3 linked regions of the Caenorhabditis elegans genome follow. The protein of the gene in region 3 interacts with the protein of the main gene of each other region in a biochemical or structural test. Each region holds a gene or a part of one and is shown on either strand. Other genes may lie near its edges.

Region 1 (8,026 bases), on a different chromosome or scaffold from region 3:
CCGCCATGTTGGGAAATCGAAAACGGGCGGCCCTTTTCTGTATTTTCTTGTCCTATCTCACTTTTCTATTGATTTATGCAATTATTGTCATAGTTATCGATTGAAAATAAACATTTTCTGGATTTTTTGGAAAAATTTAATTTTGAACTTCTCTTTTCAGCTGGAAACTGTAAACTCCTTGAGATAGGAAGTTAAATAATGAATTTTCGAATCAATTTTTTCTGCAAAACTATCGATTTTTCTAGGAAATTATTGATTTTTCTTGGAAATTATCGATTTTTCTGCAAAATTATTGATTTTTCTTCCAAATTATCGATTTTTCTGCAAAATTATTGATTTTTCTTCCAAATTATCGATTTTTCTGCAAAATTATTGATTTTTCTTCCAAATTATCGATTTTTCTGCAAAATTATTGATTTTCTTCCAAATTATCGATTTTTCTACACAATTATTGATTTTCTAGGAAATTATTGATTTTTCTGCGAAAATTATTGATTTTTCTGCAAAATGATAGACTTTAATCTCAAGTTGTCAAAGTTTCATTCGGTATTTACAAGAATTTTTAATAAATTAAAAAAAAAAAGATCGATTTTCAGATATGTTTCAGTGGAAAAATGATTAAAAAAAGTGTGGGAAATGTCGTAAAACTATTAAAATTATTAAATTTTTCGCCTGGAATCGCATCGGGCCGGCGAATCGATCGGACGCCACGTGGATCTGTCATGAGCCGTCAATTTTCCCAGTTTCTGAACGTAGTCTTGAGTGAGCGGGAATTTGGAGATCAATTCAGATGAAATTTGAGCCAAAACTTCGAATAAGTCGTTGTCGATCTGGAAAAAATGTGATTTTATTGAGGAATTATCGATTTTTTCAGTTTTTCTTGAATTTTCAGGGAAATCGATATTTCAGAATTTTAAACAAAAATTGATTTTTTTTTTGTATTTTTGTCGATTTTTCTCGAAAATTATCGATTTTTCTAGGAAAAATTGATTTTCAGAAAATTTCCACTGAAGTTATCGACTTTTGCCCAAAATTTTTGAATTTTAAACAATTTCCACTCGCTTATACACGATTTTTAACGATTTTCCACTAAAATTATCAATTTTTATCGATTTTTCCCATTTCGAACCTTGCATGGCTCATCATCTGCCACAAAAGTCGGCGGCGGCGTTGTCGGCGGCGTCGCAAACGAATCCTCGCCTTCAGAATAATCAAAATTCGGCGAATTTGACCATTGCGGCGGCGGCGGCGGCGGCAACGGCGAAAAAATCGAAATCGCCGCAAATCGATCGGTGAGACTTCCGAGCGTGTCGTCCGGATCGTTTATCGATTTTTCAGCGGCGGCCGGAATTTCAGAGAATGTGTCGTAGAATATGTCATCGTCGTCTTCGTCGTCAGCGGAATCGGATCCGTCTGGGGTTAAATTTTCAGATATTTCCGCCGATTTTTCTCCATCCAAAATTCCAAAATCCAACTTTCTAGCGTGAATTCCTCGTCGAAATATCGATTTTTTCGTGGAAATTTCGGAAATCTCAGAATTTCTCAGATTTCCTCGCCGTTTTTCGCGTAAAAACGCTTCCAGCACGCCCAGTCCCTGCTCGGAGCCCAAATCGAGAAGCTCCATAGAGCCCAAGAAGTGCCAAGTCTCTCGCCACATGGCTTCTGATTGCTCGGCGAGCACACGGCCGACACGTTCCCATCCTTTATCGAAATCCGTTCGTTTCAGCTCTTTTCCCGCGGTTTGCCAGCTTTTTGCGAAATCTCGAGCTTCTCGCTCCGTGAAAAATGGTCCCGCCTGTGCTGACACGGTTACTGTAGCTGTGGTCGGCGAGGTACTGTAGGTAGCCGGCGGCTTCTGGGATACTGTAAGCTGTGTGGAGCCGGTTGTTGGATTTCGGTGCAGAAATACGTAGAAACCCTGAAAAAAATTGATTTAAAGTTTTTTTTTCGCATTAAAAAAAATAATGACCTAACTTTTTCGCAGGCCATGTAGGAAAAGTTAGGCCATCAATTTTTTTTCTCAAAAAAAGGTGTTTTCTTTGAATTTTTGGCGCAAAAAGATTGGTGGCCTAACTTTCTGTATTTTAGTGGCCTAGAAATTTTTAAAACACAAAAAATTTTGTAGACAAAATACTGCAAGACTCGCAATTTCTGACTTTTTTTCGGAAAAAAACATTGGCGGCCTAACTTTTTTCCTGGAGTTTCCTAGGCCATCATAGAAATACTTAGCCCACCAACTTTTTTTTCCGATTTTTTTGCACCCAAAAATTGGTGGCCTAGAAACTTTGAAAATCTAGAAAGTTCCATTTTCTTAATAAAAAATACTGGAAAATTGGGAATTTCTGAATTCTCTTTAGCGCAAAAAATTAATTGGTGGCCTAACTTTTTGTTCAGGTGGCCTAGAAATTTTGAAAATCCAAAAGTTCCATTTTTTGGATGAAAAATATTGCGAAAATGGAATATCTTTATTTTTGCGCAAAACATTAATGACCTAACTTGATATTCAGGTGGCCTAGAAATACGGAAATCTTTTCTAGGTCATCAGAAAAAAAGTTAGGCCACCAATTTTGTTGCAAAAATAGGGGTTTTTATTGAATTTTAACGAAAAATTCTAATTTTCCGGTAATTTTTCGAGTTTTTTTTCGATTTTTTTGCAGTAAAAAAACCTAGGCCACCAATTTTTGTTGCTCAAATCTTAGAAATTTTAACGAAAAAAAATTGGATTTTTCCGGTGGTTTTTTGCAGGATCAGGCTAGAAAACTTGATTTTTCACAATTTTCAGAAAAAAAATTGCATTTTTGGCTATTTTCACCACAAAAAAATTGGGTTTTTTCTCCTTTTTTCTCAAATTTTTCAGGAAAATTCGTAATTTCCCGCATTTTTACAGCAAAAAGAAACCTAGGCCACCAGAAAAAAGTTAGGCCATAATCTTATGTTCTAACTAAATTGGCGGTTTTTAGTCATAATTTTACGAAAATATCGAATTTTCCGCAATTTCTTCCCATAAAATTCCTAGGCCTCCTGAAGAAAAAGTTAGGCCACCATTTTTTTTTGTTACAAAAATTCGAATTTTTCGGTAATTTTTCGCTGTTTTTGTCATTTTTCAGTGAAAAATTCTAGGCCACCAATTTTTTTTTGTTGCAAAAATTGGAGTTTTTGATAAAATTTAAACGAAAAAATCGATTTTTCCGCAATTTTTCCCGTTTTTTCTCAATTTTTATCGCGGAAAATTGGTAATTTCCCGCACCTCAATAGCCAAATGAATATCCCGTTGCACCATATCCTTATCCTCTCCCGTATATCGTTCGCCGGCACAATCCAACGCGCTTTTTCCGGATTTGTTGAGCAGTGTCCTATCCGTCGCGGAATTTTCAGTCAAAACTCGAACAACGCCGATTTTTCCGAATTTCGAAGCAAAATGTAGTGGGGTATCCGAGTTTCCTTTGTCCGGCGTATTTAAATATGAATCCAGAATATTGATTTTTCGTAGCGTGACGTCATCGGCGCCGGTGCCGTACAGGCGAATCAGAAAATCGATATTTTGAATGAGTTCCAGAATTTTTGCGATTATTTCCGTTTGGCCGGCTTTGGCGGCAATGTGTAGAGCATTATAACGGAATCCTTCCATCACAATTGATGCCACGTCACCACCGGTATTCACGAGAAAACGTGGATTCGAATCGACGAGGCGTCTGCAAGAAAATCGATAATTTTCACTGCAACTTTTTCCTCACGAGGGACGAGGAAAAATGGTTTCTAGGCCATGGCCGAGAGGCCGACAAGTTTCAGCGGCCATTTATCTTGCTTTGTTTTCCGCCTGTTTTCTTTCGTTTTTCATCGATTTTTTTCGTTTTTTCTTAATAAAACTGATGAATAAATATTTTTTGCAGATGCTAAAACAATTTCCAAGTAAAAAAATCATGTATTCAGTGGGCAAGCAGCGGTGAAAGTGGTCAATGTAAAATGATGGATTACGGGAATACAAAACCTAAACTTTTTCTGAAACATGATACATATGATGCTTAAATGCTGAGACTACCTGATTTTCATAACGAGACCGCTGAAAAAGTTTTGAGATTTTCAAAATTCAACTTTTTGTGCGAAAATCTCGAATTTTTTTGCTGAAACTTGTCGGCCTCTCGGCCATGGCCTAGAAACCATTTTTCCTCGTCCCTCGTGAGGAAAAAGTTGCAGTGATTTTGGTGGAAATTAAGAAAAAAAAAAGGTTTTTTTTGGATTTTTCAAATGAAAATTTGAAAAAAATCGATAATTTCTGACCGGAATTACAGAAAATCGGCATTTTTGTAAAAATTCGGGAAAAATCGATTTTTTGAAGGATATTTGAGAAAAATTCATGAAAAGTGATAATTTTGTTGGAAATTCCGAAAAATCGAAAGTTTTGGTGAAAATTCGAGTAAAAATCGATTTTTTTTTGTAATTTTTTTAGGGGAAATCGATTTTCAAGAGAAATTTGGAAAAACACGATTATTTTAAGTAAAAATTCCAAAAATCTATTTTTGGTGAAAATTTGGTAAGAAATCAATCATTTTGTGAGAAATTTGAAAAAAATCGGTTTTTTAAATAATTTTTTAGGGGGAAATTCGAAAAAATTAATTTTTGTGGGATATTTAGTAAAAATTCCAAAAATTTGGGTGAAAATCAATATTTTTGTGAAAAATTTTGGAAAAAAGTCCGCTTTTTTTTTTTGGGGAAATTCGGGAAACCCCATTTTTTTGGGATTTTCTAGGAAAATTCGATAATTTTTGGTAAAAATTCCAAAAATTTTTTTTTTGGTAAAAATTTGATAAGCTATCGATTTTTTTTTGGGGAAATCCGGGAAAAATCTAGTTTTTGATAAAAATTCCAAAAAATTGATAATTTTTGTGAAAATTTGAGTGAAAATCGAATTTTTAAAGGATACTAGGGGGAAAATAAATTTTTAAAGAAATTCAAGGAAAAAAAAAAGGAAAATGATAGAAAAAATAGATAATTATGGTGAAAACTCGGATCAAAATCGATAACTTCTCGAAAAAGTCTGGTTTTTTTGGGAAAAATCCACCTTCTATGGGAAAATTTCGAGAAAAAGGCTTTTTTCCAGCAAAACTGCGGAAATATCCATCTTTTTGTACAGATTTTTCAATTTTTTCAGCTAAAAACTATAACAGTGCCGGATTTTTTTTTGTAATAAATCGAGAATTATATCTACTTTTCGCCAATTTTTCAAAAATTTCACAATCCTTACAAAAAATTCTCCATATCTCCTTTTTCCACATATTTCTTGAATTCATTCATTTGAATGCGATTTACACCGGAAAACGGTGAATTTGGCTCAGTTGGGGCGACGGGCGGCACGGTTTTCGGTGTCGTCGGCGCATCTCCGTACGCGAGAAAGTCCATCGCTTCTCGTGGCGTTCCGAATTTCTTAAAACGAGCCGACATGCTTTTTCCTTCGGCCGAGTTCACGAATTTCGCCACTTCCTTGACGCTTCTGTAAAAAAAATCGAAATTTTCAGCGAAAAATCGAGTAAAAACTCACTTATACAAGTCTCTGGGCGATTTTAGCATATCTTCCATGGAATATGCCACGTAGACCGGTCCCTCAGTCTCCTGCACCGGTGTATTTGACATTTTACTGCAAAAAAACAATTAAAAAATGAGAAAAATCGACGAAAATCCAATAAAAAACCGATAAAAACCGATATTTCCTCATTTAAAACACCCGCTGAAATACGCTAAACAACATGCAACCCGCAATATCGGAGCGTCGTTGTAGCGCTTTCTGTCTCCGTCTCTCACTTTCCTACACTCTCTCAGGGGGTAAACTTAAAATCGCTGAAAATCGATCGATTTTTTTGCAAAAAAATATATTAAATAATGTAAAGTCACCTGAAATTACTTCTGAAATATATTATAGCAAGAATTACAGCTAGAATTGCAGATTTTCGCCCCATAAACTCTTGAATAAGAGTTTGGTGAGAAAAGAAACAGAAAAAAGTGATGAGGCAACAAAAACAGCTCGAATTTCGCAACTATCACATGATTTTCGAATTTTTTCGAATAAATATTGCAATAGAGCGCAGTTTTATCTGCTAATTTGTGAAAACCTGGCGGATTTTCAGTCATTTTTTTACGAAAAATTTGAATTTTCAGCAAAAAAATCACTAGGCCACCTAAAGAAAAGTTAGGCCACCAATTTTTTTGTTGCAAATTTTTGCAAAACTTGAGGTTTTTGATGAAGTTTTTTACGAAAATTTCAAATTTTCAATTAACTTTTTCTAATTTCACGCGGTTTTCCCGCATTTTTGCAGCAAAATATTCCTAGGCCATCACAAAAAAATTAGGCCACCAATTTTTTGTTGCAAGACTTGAGGTTTTTGATGAAATTTTAACGAAAAATCCGAATTTTCAGTTAACTGTTTCTAATTTTTTGCGGTTTTTTCTAATTTTTCAGTAAAAATTTCTAGGCCACCAGAAAAAAGTTAGGCCACCAATTTTTAAATGCAAAACTTGGGGTTTATGATAAAATTTTCACGTGAAATTCAAATATTCTGGTAATTTTTCGCATTTTCTCGCATTTGTCAACAAAAAAATCCTAGGCCACCTAAACAAAAAGTTAGGCCACAAATTTTTTTGCTGCACAATTTGGGTTTTTGATGAAATTTTTACGAAAAATTCGAATTTTCAGTCAACTTTTCAAAAAAAAAACTACATTTTTGGTAATTTTCATCACAAAAAATCGGGGTTTTCGGAAACATGCACAGTAACATCCCAATTTTTCAGAAAATATCAATTTTTTCCAGATTTTTTCGCCGGATTCTCAACGAAGCGCGTTTGCATTCTCCCCGATTTTCGAAAAATCGTCACCATGTTCCTTATCACTTATCAGAAGAAAATGAATAATTAAAATGTTTCTTATCGGGGTGTCTAATTGACTCTTCGAGCACCTGACACAGTGTCACCAGATGCACCTGCCGGAAAATGCGCCGATTTTTGCTTCTGTTCCACGTATTTTTTGCGTTTTCACACAGTTTTCCTGTTAGAAATGATGATCGTGGAGTTTTGCCGAATAGTAAGTTTTTACTGGGAAACAATTATTTTTGATTTGAAACTAAAAAAAATCTGAGAAAAAACATTCTTTTCAAAGTTTTTTTTCAGTCGACGCTCTATTCTGTACAAATAAGGATTTAAGACAAGTAGTCTTCAATGCATTGCAAAATATTACAAATCCAAAGGCAATCGCCGTTGATCAAGTTCAGGCAGCTATTCAAGTGAGTTTTTTTCTTTTTTTTTCGCCGAAAAAATTCGAAAAACATTTTCTTATCTATTTTCTTACAAATTTTCGAGTTCTCGCAAATTTTTGTGTTAAACCTAACAATTTCAGTGTAAAATTTCATAGTTTCGGGATTAGCTTTGGCTTAGGCTTACAATTAGGCTAAGACTTATCCTTAGGATTAGTCTTAAGTTTAGGCTTAACCGTAGGGTTAGGCTTAAGCTTAGGTTTAAGCTTAGGATTAGGCGTCGGCTTAGGCTTGGCCTTAGAATCAGGCTTAGGTTTAGGCTTGAGCTTAGACGTAGGCTTATGAAATAAAAATATAGATTTTAATTTAGTTGTTTATACTAAAATCACCAAATGTTCCAATTCCAATAATTTCAAAACGACTTTCTGGAATCTTTTCATTTACATTCGAAAAAATAAAAACCGGAAAAAAAATTACAGAGTTTTAAAATTAAAGTGTTTGGAGCAGCCACGCGCTTCTGGCTTCCCACGAATTTTTGAATGTAAAAGTCTGCCGAACTAGGCCATTTGAGCTCGGCCATGGTCGTGGTAGATTAACGCCAAAAATGCATTGAGGAAGACCAGAAGCCCGTGAGCACCACCACCGACAAAATTTGCACTCAAAAGTATATATTCCAGACCGCCCTAATCCCGAATTTCGCGTCTTCCGGTGGCACATGGCTTGTCAGTGCCACGTCATATCATCGTGTAAATGGATATGTGGATGATCGGGCGACGAGTATGGACACG
Region 2 (2,961 bases), on a different chromosome or scaffold from region 3:
ACTACGAGCGCGTTGGCCTAGAAAACGCATGTCAGCATTTTCTAGGCCATTTCGGAGATTTTTAATAATTTTATTTTTTTGGCTCAATTTTAATAAATATAGCTTTCTATTTAATTGTCTTAAATATTTAAATATATTAATTTACAGATCACCATGTCCGACGATAAATTAGACACTCTTCCGGATCTTCAATCGGAAACGTCACATGTCACAACTCCTCACAGGGTACATTAATAGTGAAAATTAACAAGATGATGTTTTATTAAATATCAATTTCAGCAAAATGATCTTCTTCGTCAAGCGGTCACTCATGGAAGGCCACCACCAGTTCCGAGCACATCAACTTCTGGAAAGAAACGAGAAATGTCTGAACTACCGTGGTCAGATTTTTTTGATGAAAAGAAGGACGCAAACATTGATGGAGATGTTTTCAATGTGTACATAAAGGGAAATGAAGGTCCAATTTTCTATTTGCTTCACGGTGGAGGTTATTCAGGCCTCACATGGGCGTGTTTTGCGGTATGTTTTGTTCTATTCTAGTGTCAGTCATTAATGGTTCTGTTCAGAAAGAATTGGCAACTTTAATATCATGCAGAGTTGTTGCACCTGATTTAAGAGGACACGGCGACACTAAATGTTCTGATGAGCACGATCTTTCGAAAGAAACCCAAATAAAGTGAGGTTTCGCTTTGATAAGTTTTGTAACTTCTATCGACATATTGTAGAGATATTGGAGCAATCTTCAAGAACATTTTCGGCGAAGACGATTCACCAGTATGCATTGTTGGACACAGTATGGGTGGTGCATTGGCCATTCATACATTGAATGCAAAGATGATTTCTTCAAAAGTCGCTGCACTCATTGTCATTGATGTTGTCGAAGGTTCCGCTATGGAAGCACTTGGAGGAATGGTTCATTTTTTACATTCAAGGCCTTCTTCATTTCCTTCTATCGAAAAAGCCATTCACTGGTGCCTTTCTTCGGGTACAGCGAGGAATCCCACAGCTGCACGGGTCTCAATGCCGTCTCAAATTAGAGAAGTATCGGAACACGAGTACACTTGGCGAATTGATTTAACAACAACAGAACAGTACTGGAAAGGATGGTTTGAAGGATTATCCAAAGAATTTTTGGGATGTTCCGTTCCGAAGATGCTTGTTCTAGCGGGCGTTGATCGGCTGGACAGGGATCTCACAATTGGTCAAATGCAGGGAAAGTTTCAGACTTGTGTGTTACCAAAAGTTGGACATTGTGTTCAGGTAAATGTTATACTCAATTAATAATTTATATAAATTGTCTTGCAGGAAGATAGCCCACAAAATCTTGCAGATGAAGTCGGAAGATTCGCTTGCCGCCATAGAATTGCCCAACCGAAATTCTCAGCCCTTGCATCACCACCAGATCCAGCGATTCTCGAATACAGAAAACGTCATCACCAATAATTGCTCATTTTGTTTTCCAATATTTTCACAACATTTCTATACAAGTTAAGAAAAAAATATTTTATATGAAAAGATTATCGATTAAATTTCCCGTCTTTTTAGTTCTTGGGAATAATAAATGTCAGCGACATACGAATGAATCGATTATTTTAGAGGAGAGGCAGATGCCAAAAAATTACAGTCAAAAAGAAGTATTCGTGAAAGAGTGCGCAAATCGAGAGACGCAGACAGAATGCAAACGCGCTCCGCTGAACTGTGGCCGCCAAGCGTTTCGTTTAAAAGGGAGCGTTGTCTATTTTCCTATCTATTCTTGCCAGTTTTATTTTATTTCGCAACTATCTTTTTACTACGATTTTCGAAAATATTTTCAAATTCAAGAATGTAATTATTTTGTGTTTCAGAAACCATGTCGACTTCTGTTAAGCATCGTGAGTTCGTCGGAGAGCCAATGGGCGACAAAGAAGTCACATGCATCGCCGGGATCGGGCCAACATATGGCACCAAGCTCACCGATGCAGGCTTCGATAAAGTATGTAGATTTTTTTTTCTCAAATTTTCGATCAATGTTAAAATTTGAATTTCAGGCCTACGTACTGTTCGGACAGTATCTCCTTCTGAAGAAAGACGAGGATTTGTTTATCGAATGGCTGAAAGAGACGGCTGGAGTGACTGCAAATCACGCGAAGACGGCGTTCAATTGTTTGAACGAGTGGGCAGATCAGTTCATGTAAACTGCTCAATATTTCTGCTAAGCATCGATTTGATTCTCCTCTATAATCATCAATGGCCATATTTGCACTTCGAAAAACACCATTTGTTCCAGTGTAGTCGTTTTCCGCTTTGCGACTATGCCCCATTTCAAATTAATCTGTTTCTGAAATATTTCTCATACTTCCAAGTTTTCCCCCTTGTCGTGTGGTCTTGGACTACGGTTCTTGTTTTGTTTTTGACTTTAATTTTGCGATTTTTCTCCCTCCAAATAAAATATTTTCTACGATCCTGAAGAGTGTTTCTAAGTTTTTTATTACGAAAGTTGTCGTTCGAAAGTTTACTTGGAATAAAAACAATATTTTCTATTCTATGGTGATTTCCAGATGCCTCCGAAAAGGGCTGTGAAAAAGAAGGTACAGACCACAGAAAAAGCTCGCCCAACATTGGATCAGGAGATAAAATGTGAGCATTTTTACACGGGTTGGCGGCAATTCGACAATTATCGAAGTTAAAAATTAATTTTTTTTTTCAAAAAATATACTGAAAAATACATTTTCAAATGTGTGTTTCCAAAAAAGTTTCGGATTTGTTACAATATTCACACGGAATTTATTTTTTCAGTAGATGACTCAAATGAGCTTGAACCATCGATTCGAAGTGTTGTGACGAGTTTGATGTTCACTTCGGGAGACGACGAAAATCCACTTTCTGAAAATGAAGATTTCGTTGTGAATATACTGAAAAACGAGTTGGTTCTCTTTATTAACGATGTTATAGAGGTTTATGATAATAAGTAAGCAGATTTTT
Region 3 (5,318 bases):
CAACGATGGAAAATGAACGAAAAGAGAAATGTGCGAGATATTGGCCAGCAGAAGTGAATAAGCCAGAAGTGCACGGTGATATTTCTTTGACTTGCACTATCGAGCGGAAAGTTCAGCGAGCTGTGTCTGATGAAGTGAAAGCTGAATTGGAACAAGAAAAAACGAATCGAATTGCGAAGGGTTTAGTCCCAGAAGCTGAGCTTAATGGTGATGGTATCAGCTACATTCTTCGCACTTTGGTCATGAAGAAAGGAAAAGATACGAGGGAAATTCGTCAATTACAATATTTGACTTGGCCAGATCATGGATGTCCACTACATCCTTACGCAGTACTCAATTTCCTCGAAGATGTCGATCGTGAATATGATTATTTCAATGCTCAACCAATTGCTGCATCATTGCCTCAAGGGCCGATCGTTGTTCATTGTAGTGCTGGAATTGGTAGAACAGGTACCGTACTTGTATTGGACGCACTTCTGAACCAAGTGAAGAAAGTCGGATTATTGTGTCCGATGGATGTATACAAGATGGTTAAGTACGTCAGAACATATCGATCTGGACTCGTTCAAACAGAGCAACAATATCAATTCCTTTACAAAGCACTCGCATTTTACTTGAAGAATAATAACCCCGTAAGTATAATTTTATTTATTATGATTCAGTTAAGTATGCATATTTTCAGTACCCTGTGAAATCGTTCATTGATGGAGACACGGATGCCTTCGATTTTCCACGACGTCTTCGTCCGACGCCAAATGCTTCACGTCCATCGTCAGCTAGACAAGTAACATCTTCTCGGCCTTCTTCCTCTGCGTCATCCCGTACTTCTCATTCTCGCCCCCGAACTGGGCCACAAGCGGAGCCAATTTTCGAGCGCAGCACTTCTTCCACGTCATCATCGTCAACTCTCCTGAAATCAACTAAAAAATAAATCGCGAATCAAGAAATTTCTAGCATTAATTCACCACTTTAAATTCTATTTCTATTTTCTCTTTTATCCGTTTCATAGTTGTTATTCTTTCCTTTTCCATCTACTGTCATTCTGTTTTTTTTCTTTCAATTTTCGACATACTCAGTTTTGTGTTTCAATTATTATTTTCTTCTTCTTTTCCCTTAATTGTTTAATTTTCCAATTCATATTGCTTCCCATTTTCTCAGGTAGAAACGATTTGTGAAAATTATACATTTACCATTCATTTGTTGTTATTTGTAGTTTTTTTTGTGACCCATCTCTTAGATCCTCCGGTATTAGACTTTTTCGTATTGCCAGCCAGACCACCAGGATGATTTTCCATTGTACCCCGTTTGACTCAAATTTATTTTTTCTTGTTCCGTCGTAATTATTCGCAAATTCTCTGCAACACCATACCATTCATTGTTGAGCACTATGTACTATTTCCCACCAATTCTTTATATAATCAAGAACAAATCGCGACGCTGTCTTATGCACATGATTCCCCCGAATCCCATATCCTTCCAGAATGATAGTAGATCAAATTCAATTTGTCATTTGAGATTTATAGGTTGATTGAGATTTTTCTAAGAAACATTCTGGTTTGTCTAATAAACATTTTATATTGATTCCATTCAAATATTCAGAATTTTTATCGGTAGCAAAATGCCAAAGCTGAATTATCCGTTTGAAACTTTTAATTTTAAATATGATCTTCTCTTTCAGGATTCTAGAATATAAATATTTAAATAGAAGAAAAAAATTTAATAAAAAAATTCTGTAGCAAGTGCGCCCCTTCGTTCGATTTAAAAATCGCGGGCATTCAAAGCACTCCCACTTTCCCTGTTCGTTTAGTTTCGTTATATGACATTTTGCTTTCTTTTATTTTCGCTTTTCACCAACCCTAATCAACAAAACTTAAAATCATTGCAATACTCGCGTGTTTCGAAAACCAATTATATACATTTCATTTTCAGGTAGAATGCCACCGAAAAAAGCTCCCGCCAAAAAGCTGCACGAGTTGGCTGCTGAAGTTCGTGTTGGTCATAAAATCAATGATATCAGCAAAAAGACATTCATCGTTGGAAAACAGTTTGCCACCGGTGGATTCGGACGAATTCATACGTGTACCGAAGAAGGAAAATCGCAGCAAATGGTGATGAAAATTGAACCATCCACAAATGGACCGCTTCTCACAGAAGTTGTAGTGTTCAACAGAATTCTCAAAAAGGAATTAATTGAATCTTATAAGAAGAAAAAGAAAATTAGCTGGATCGGTCTTCCATACCTCATTGCCAATGGATATTTTACATACGAATCGGAAAAAATGCGATATATGATCATTCCGAAGTATGCAACATCATTGGAAGCTGTAAGAGAGACTAACGGTGGTACTCTGGCTATGAAGGATTCATTGACTGTCGCGAGCTGTATTCTTGATGCTCTCGAGTACTTGCATGAATCGGTTTGTGAACATTTTCATTTAAATTGCTGATATTCTTCTTTGTTCAGGACTATGCTCACGCAGATGTAAAGGCTGCCAACATTCTTCTAGAAAAACAAGGAGTGTATTCAACAGCCGTTCTTGTGGATTTTGGTTTAGCTCATCGCACTACGAACAACGTCGACAAGCCTGATAAGAAACGAGCTCACAATGGAACATGCATCTTCACCTCAACTGACGCACATCGTGGTAACAATCCATCATTCCGTGGTGATATTGAGATTCTTGCCTATAATCTGATGATGTGGGCAACTGGCACATTGCCATGGATGGTGAGTTAATACTTTTTCGAACGTTATTATTTTTGAATGGGTTACAGGCTCTCGAATCGTCCCCCGAGAAGGTTTTTGATGCCAAACAGAAGTTCATTGCTGGATTGCCAGGCACCTTGCAGAATGTACTTAAGGTTCGTACTTAACGTCTTCCACCCCATTACACGCTATTCCGTGTTATACCTAACTCTACATGCTCTGAAGCCAAATTATGGGGTCAGAAAACTTCAAAAGTGGATATATTTGTATACACACGCAACCAACCTACCAATTACACAATTATTTTCAGAACGAATCATCTGCCGTCGTTGGTTGTATTGCATCAATGTTCGATATATCGATGAAAACCAACTACACTGACAAAGTTGATATGGGAAAGCTGAAGAAATTGGTGACAGACGCTATTCAGAAAACTTCAAGTGATGGTAAAAAGACGCCAACGAGACAGAAGAAACTCGCCGAAGAAGATAAAAATGCAGTGACACCAAAAAGAAGTACCCGGAGATTAGCTGTGAAAGAAGAGAGTGACAATAAAGATAATGATGAAGTGGAAGTTAAACCGGAAAAGAAAGCTACTCCCAGAAAGAGAACTACTCGAAAAGCTGTGGAAGTCAACAATGATTCAGATGACAATGAAGAACAATATGAAAATCCAAAATCAAAGTCATCGAGAACTCAAACAAAATCCAAGAGAGCAAAGGAAGAGGATGTCGACGATGAAGAGGAAATCATCATTCCGAAGTCGTCAAGATCTCGAAGTAAAGTACAATTATCTGGAGAAGGATCAGATGTCACGACGCCGTCTTCAGCTGCATCTACTTCGAGAAGTCGCAGTATTCGTCTAGGATTAACGTCATCAACTGCTTCTTCTAATAAAGTTGCCAAAAAAATCGAGCAAAAGTACAAGCGTTTGTCTATGAACAAATCTTCTCTCGTTCCCGTAACAATTTCTGTTGCATCCGATAAATCTCCAACAACCTCAACTCCTTCGAGTTCGTCTGGTCTCAGATCCAAAAGAAAATCCAGTGAAGATGTTGGCGAAGGAATAACTCTGAAGACACAAGTGCTAATTACTCCAGCTATTAAAAGTGAGTTCTCATTTTTTCATTTTAAGCATTAAATTAAATACATCTACATTTTAGAAGCGAAGACAAAGAGTGGAATTTCTTCAGCAACAAAAGCAAGCCCAACCGAGTTGAGAAGAGTTCCTGGCGTCAGAAATTTTCCAAAAGGCAGACGATCGATGATTATCAAAGAGGTAGAATAGAATTGAACTTTTGTTATGAACATTTTATAAAAATGAATCCTGATACTAATTACTGTAATGAATCCTCAATTACTTTTCAAACTTGTTAACTAGGTAAATATAGCTATTCACTGTAGGTTAACAAAATTGTCTCTTTTTTCCAAATGGCCTATTAAATCGCATGTAGTAACTAGAATTGTATGTAGCGCCTAGAATACGTTTAAAACTTTAAATAATATTATTATCAGATTACTAAAGTAATAATGTCATACTAATTGCAAAAACCCTGTCATAAAATAATCAATTAGAAAACATTTTTTTCTTCTAGTAACAATTCTAATAAATCTAATAAATGAGTTTCAGACCAGTGCGAAGTATAAAGAACGTCTTGCTTCTCGTCAAACAAAGCCAACATTTGATGATTCGAGCTGCTCGTCGGAAGTGTAAACCATTGGAATCTTCAATCGAGTCACATTGCATCCCATAATTTCGTCTATTGATTCCTCTAACGTGTCTATTTTCCCTGTCTTACAGTCTCTTTCATTATTATATGTTTCGAGCTCTCAACAGGCATTAATTGTTTTTAGATCTCCAATTTTTTGCAACTTATCATTCTGTTTTGATGTACTATCGTTTTTTATCCCTTCTCCATCTCTTCGTCCTTTTTTGGCTTATCATCACTGACATGATGTCCATCAGCGACGAGTTCCCCTTTTCCACTTTTTTTTGTTATCGACGATCCCTCTTCTCTGATCCCCCTTTCACTTCCCATTCTCAAATTTTGTGAAATTACTACTGATTGAATTGATGAATTTAACTGAACTGTGAGTAGGTGTGGGTGAAACCTAAGAGGAACTAATCACGAAATTAACAATTTAGAAGGGTGCTGCTGGAAATAAAATGGGAAACAGGTTCTTTGTTCCGGTTCCCTCTCATTTCGACGACTTCTTTTCCGATTGACGTATTTCGATGTGAGGGTGGAAACCGTTGACAGCTGAAAATGTCCAGATGATCTGCTGACCTGATTGGTTTCAGACTTATATTTGGCTCATTGTGAAAATTCAACTTTTTTTTGTTTAGCACTTATGATCGTTGGTGTCCTCCGGCAATCCTTGCCAGACAGTCACCTATAAGTGTAAAATGTGACGAACACAAAAACGAGAATTTGATCGTTTTTTAATGCTATCCATTTTCGTTTTTCTCAGTTTTCCGACAGTTCGTCTTCGTCCCCTAAAAAACAAAACAGTGATTGCTGAAAAAAAGAAGTGACAATGATTTGATTACTGTAGATATCAAATACATGGTAGAGACACAGAGAAGCATAGAAAGTGTTCCACCCGGCTA

What was found.
Region 1: of the proteins of vrk-1 (region 3) and lem-4, one has a biochemical effect on the other in vitro, tested with the Caenorhabditis elegans proteins (one study listed by BioGRID).
Region 2: of the proteins of vrk-1 (region 3) and baf-1, one has a biochemical effect on the other in vitro, tested with the Caenorhabditis elegans proteins (2 studies listed by BioGRID).

Annotation. Positions count from the first base shown.
Region 1 is NC_003282.8:848,747-856,772, forward strand, and holds lem-4 (Ankyrin repeat and LEM domain-containing protein 2 homolog), read right to left. Parts: upstream 6,017-8,026; 5' UTR 5,952-6,016; coding exon 5,887-5,951; intron 5,633-5,886; coding exon 5,537-5,632; intron 5,489-5,536; coding exon 5,243-5,488; intron 3,693-5,242; coding exon 3,248-3,692; intron 1,919-3,247; coding exon 1,130-1,918; intron 831-1,129; coding exon 660-830; 3' UTR 523-659; downstream 1-522. Other genes in the region: lgc-33 (Neurotransmitter-gated ion-channel ligand-binding domain-containing protein), read left to right, coding at 1-104; Y55F3BR.11 (Ground-like domain-containing protein), read left to right, coding at 6,979-7,069, 7,156-7,268, 7,916-8,026. UniProt on the Caenorhabditis elegans protein: Involved in mitotic nuclear envelope reassembly by promoting dephosphorylation of baf-1 during mitotic exit.
Region 2 is NC_003281.10:9,465,620-9,468,580, forward strand, and holds baf-1 (Barrier-to-autointegration factor 1), read left to right. Parts: upstream 1-1,844; 5' UTR 1,845-1,849; coding exon 1,850-1,972; intron 1,973-2,027; coding exon 2,028-2,174; 3' UTR 2,175-2,439; downstream 2,440-2,961. Other genes in the region: B0464.9 (putative protein phosphatase methylesterase 1), read left to right, coding at 154-225, 280-519, 567-676, 726-1,260, 1,306-1,443; tag-342 (transcription initiation factor TFIID subunit 13 family protein), read left to right, coding at 2,538-2,616, 2,776-2,947. UniProt on the Caenorhabditis elegans protein: DNA-binding protein which plays an essential role in nuclear envelope formation. Required for normal chromosome segregation during mitosis. Associates with the nuclear lamina via its interaction with LEM domain containing proteins emr-1 and lem-2.
Region 3 is NC_003280.10:5,920,038-5,925,355, forward strand, and holds vrk-1 (Serine/threonine-protein kinase VRK1), read left to right. Parts: upstream 1-1,929; 5' UTR 1,930-1,934; coding exon 1,935-2,417; intron 2,418-2,464; coding exon 2,465-2,728; intron 2,729-2,775; coding exon 2,776-2,862; intron 2,863-3,017; coding exon 3,018-3,816; intron 3,817-3,870; coding exon 3,871-3,986; intron 3,987-4,337; coding exon 4,338-4,421; 3' UTR 4,422-4,801; downstream 4,802-5,318. Other genes in the region: Tyrosine-protein phosphatase non-receptor type ptp-2, read left to right, coding at 1-632, 683-931. UniProt on the Caenorhabditis elegans protein: Serine/threonine kinase that phosphorylates baf-1, thus regulating the association of baf-1 with chromatin and nuclear membrane proteins during nuclear envelope formation. May act through the egl-17 signaling pathway.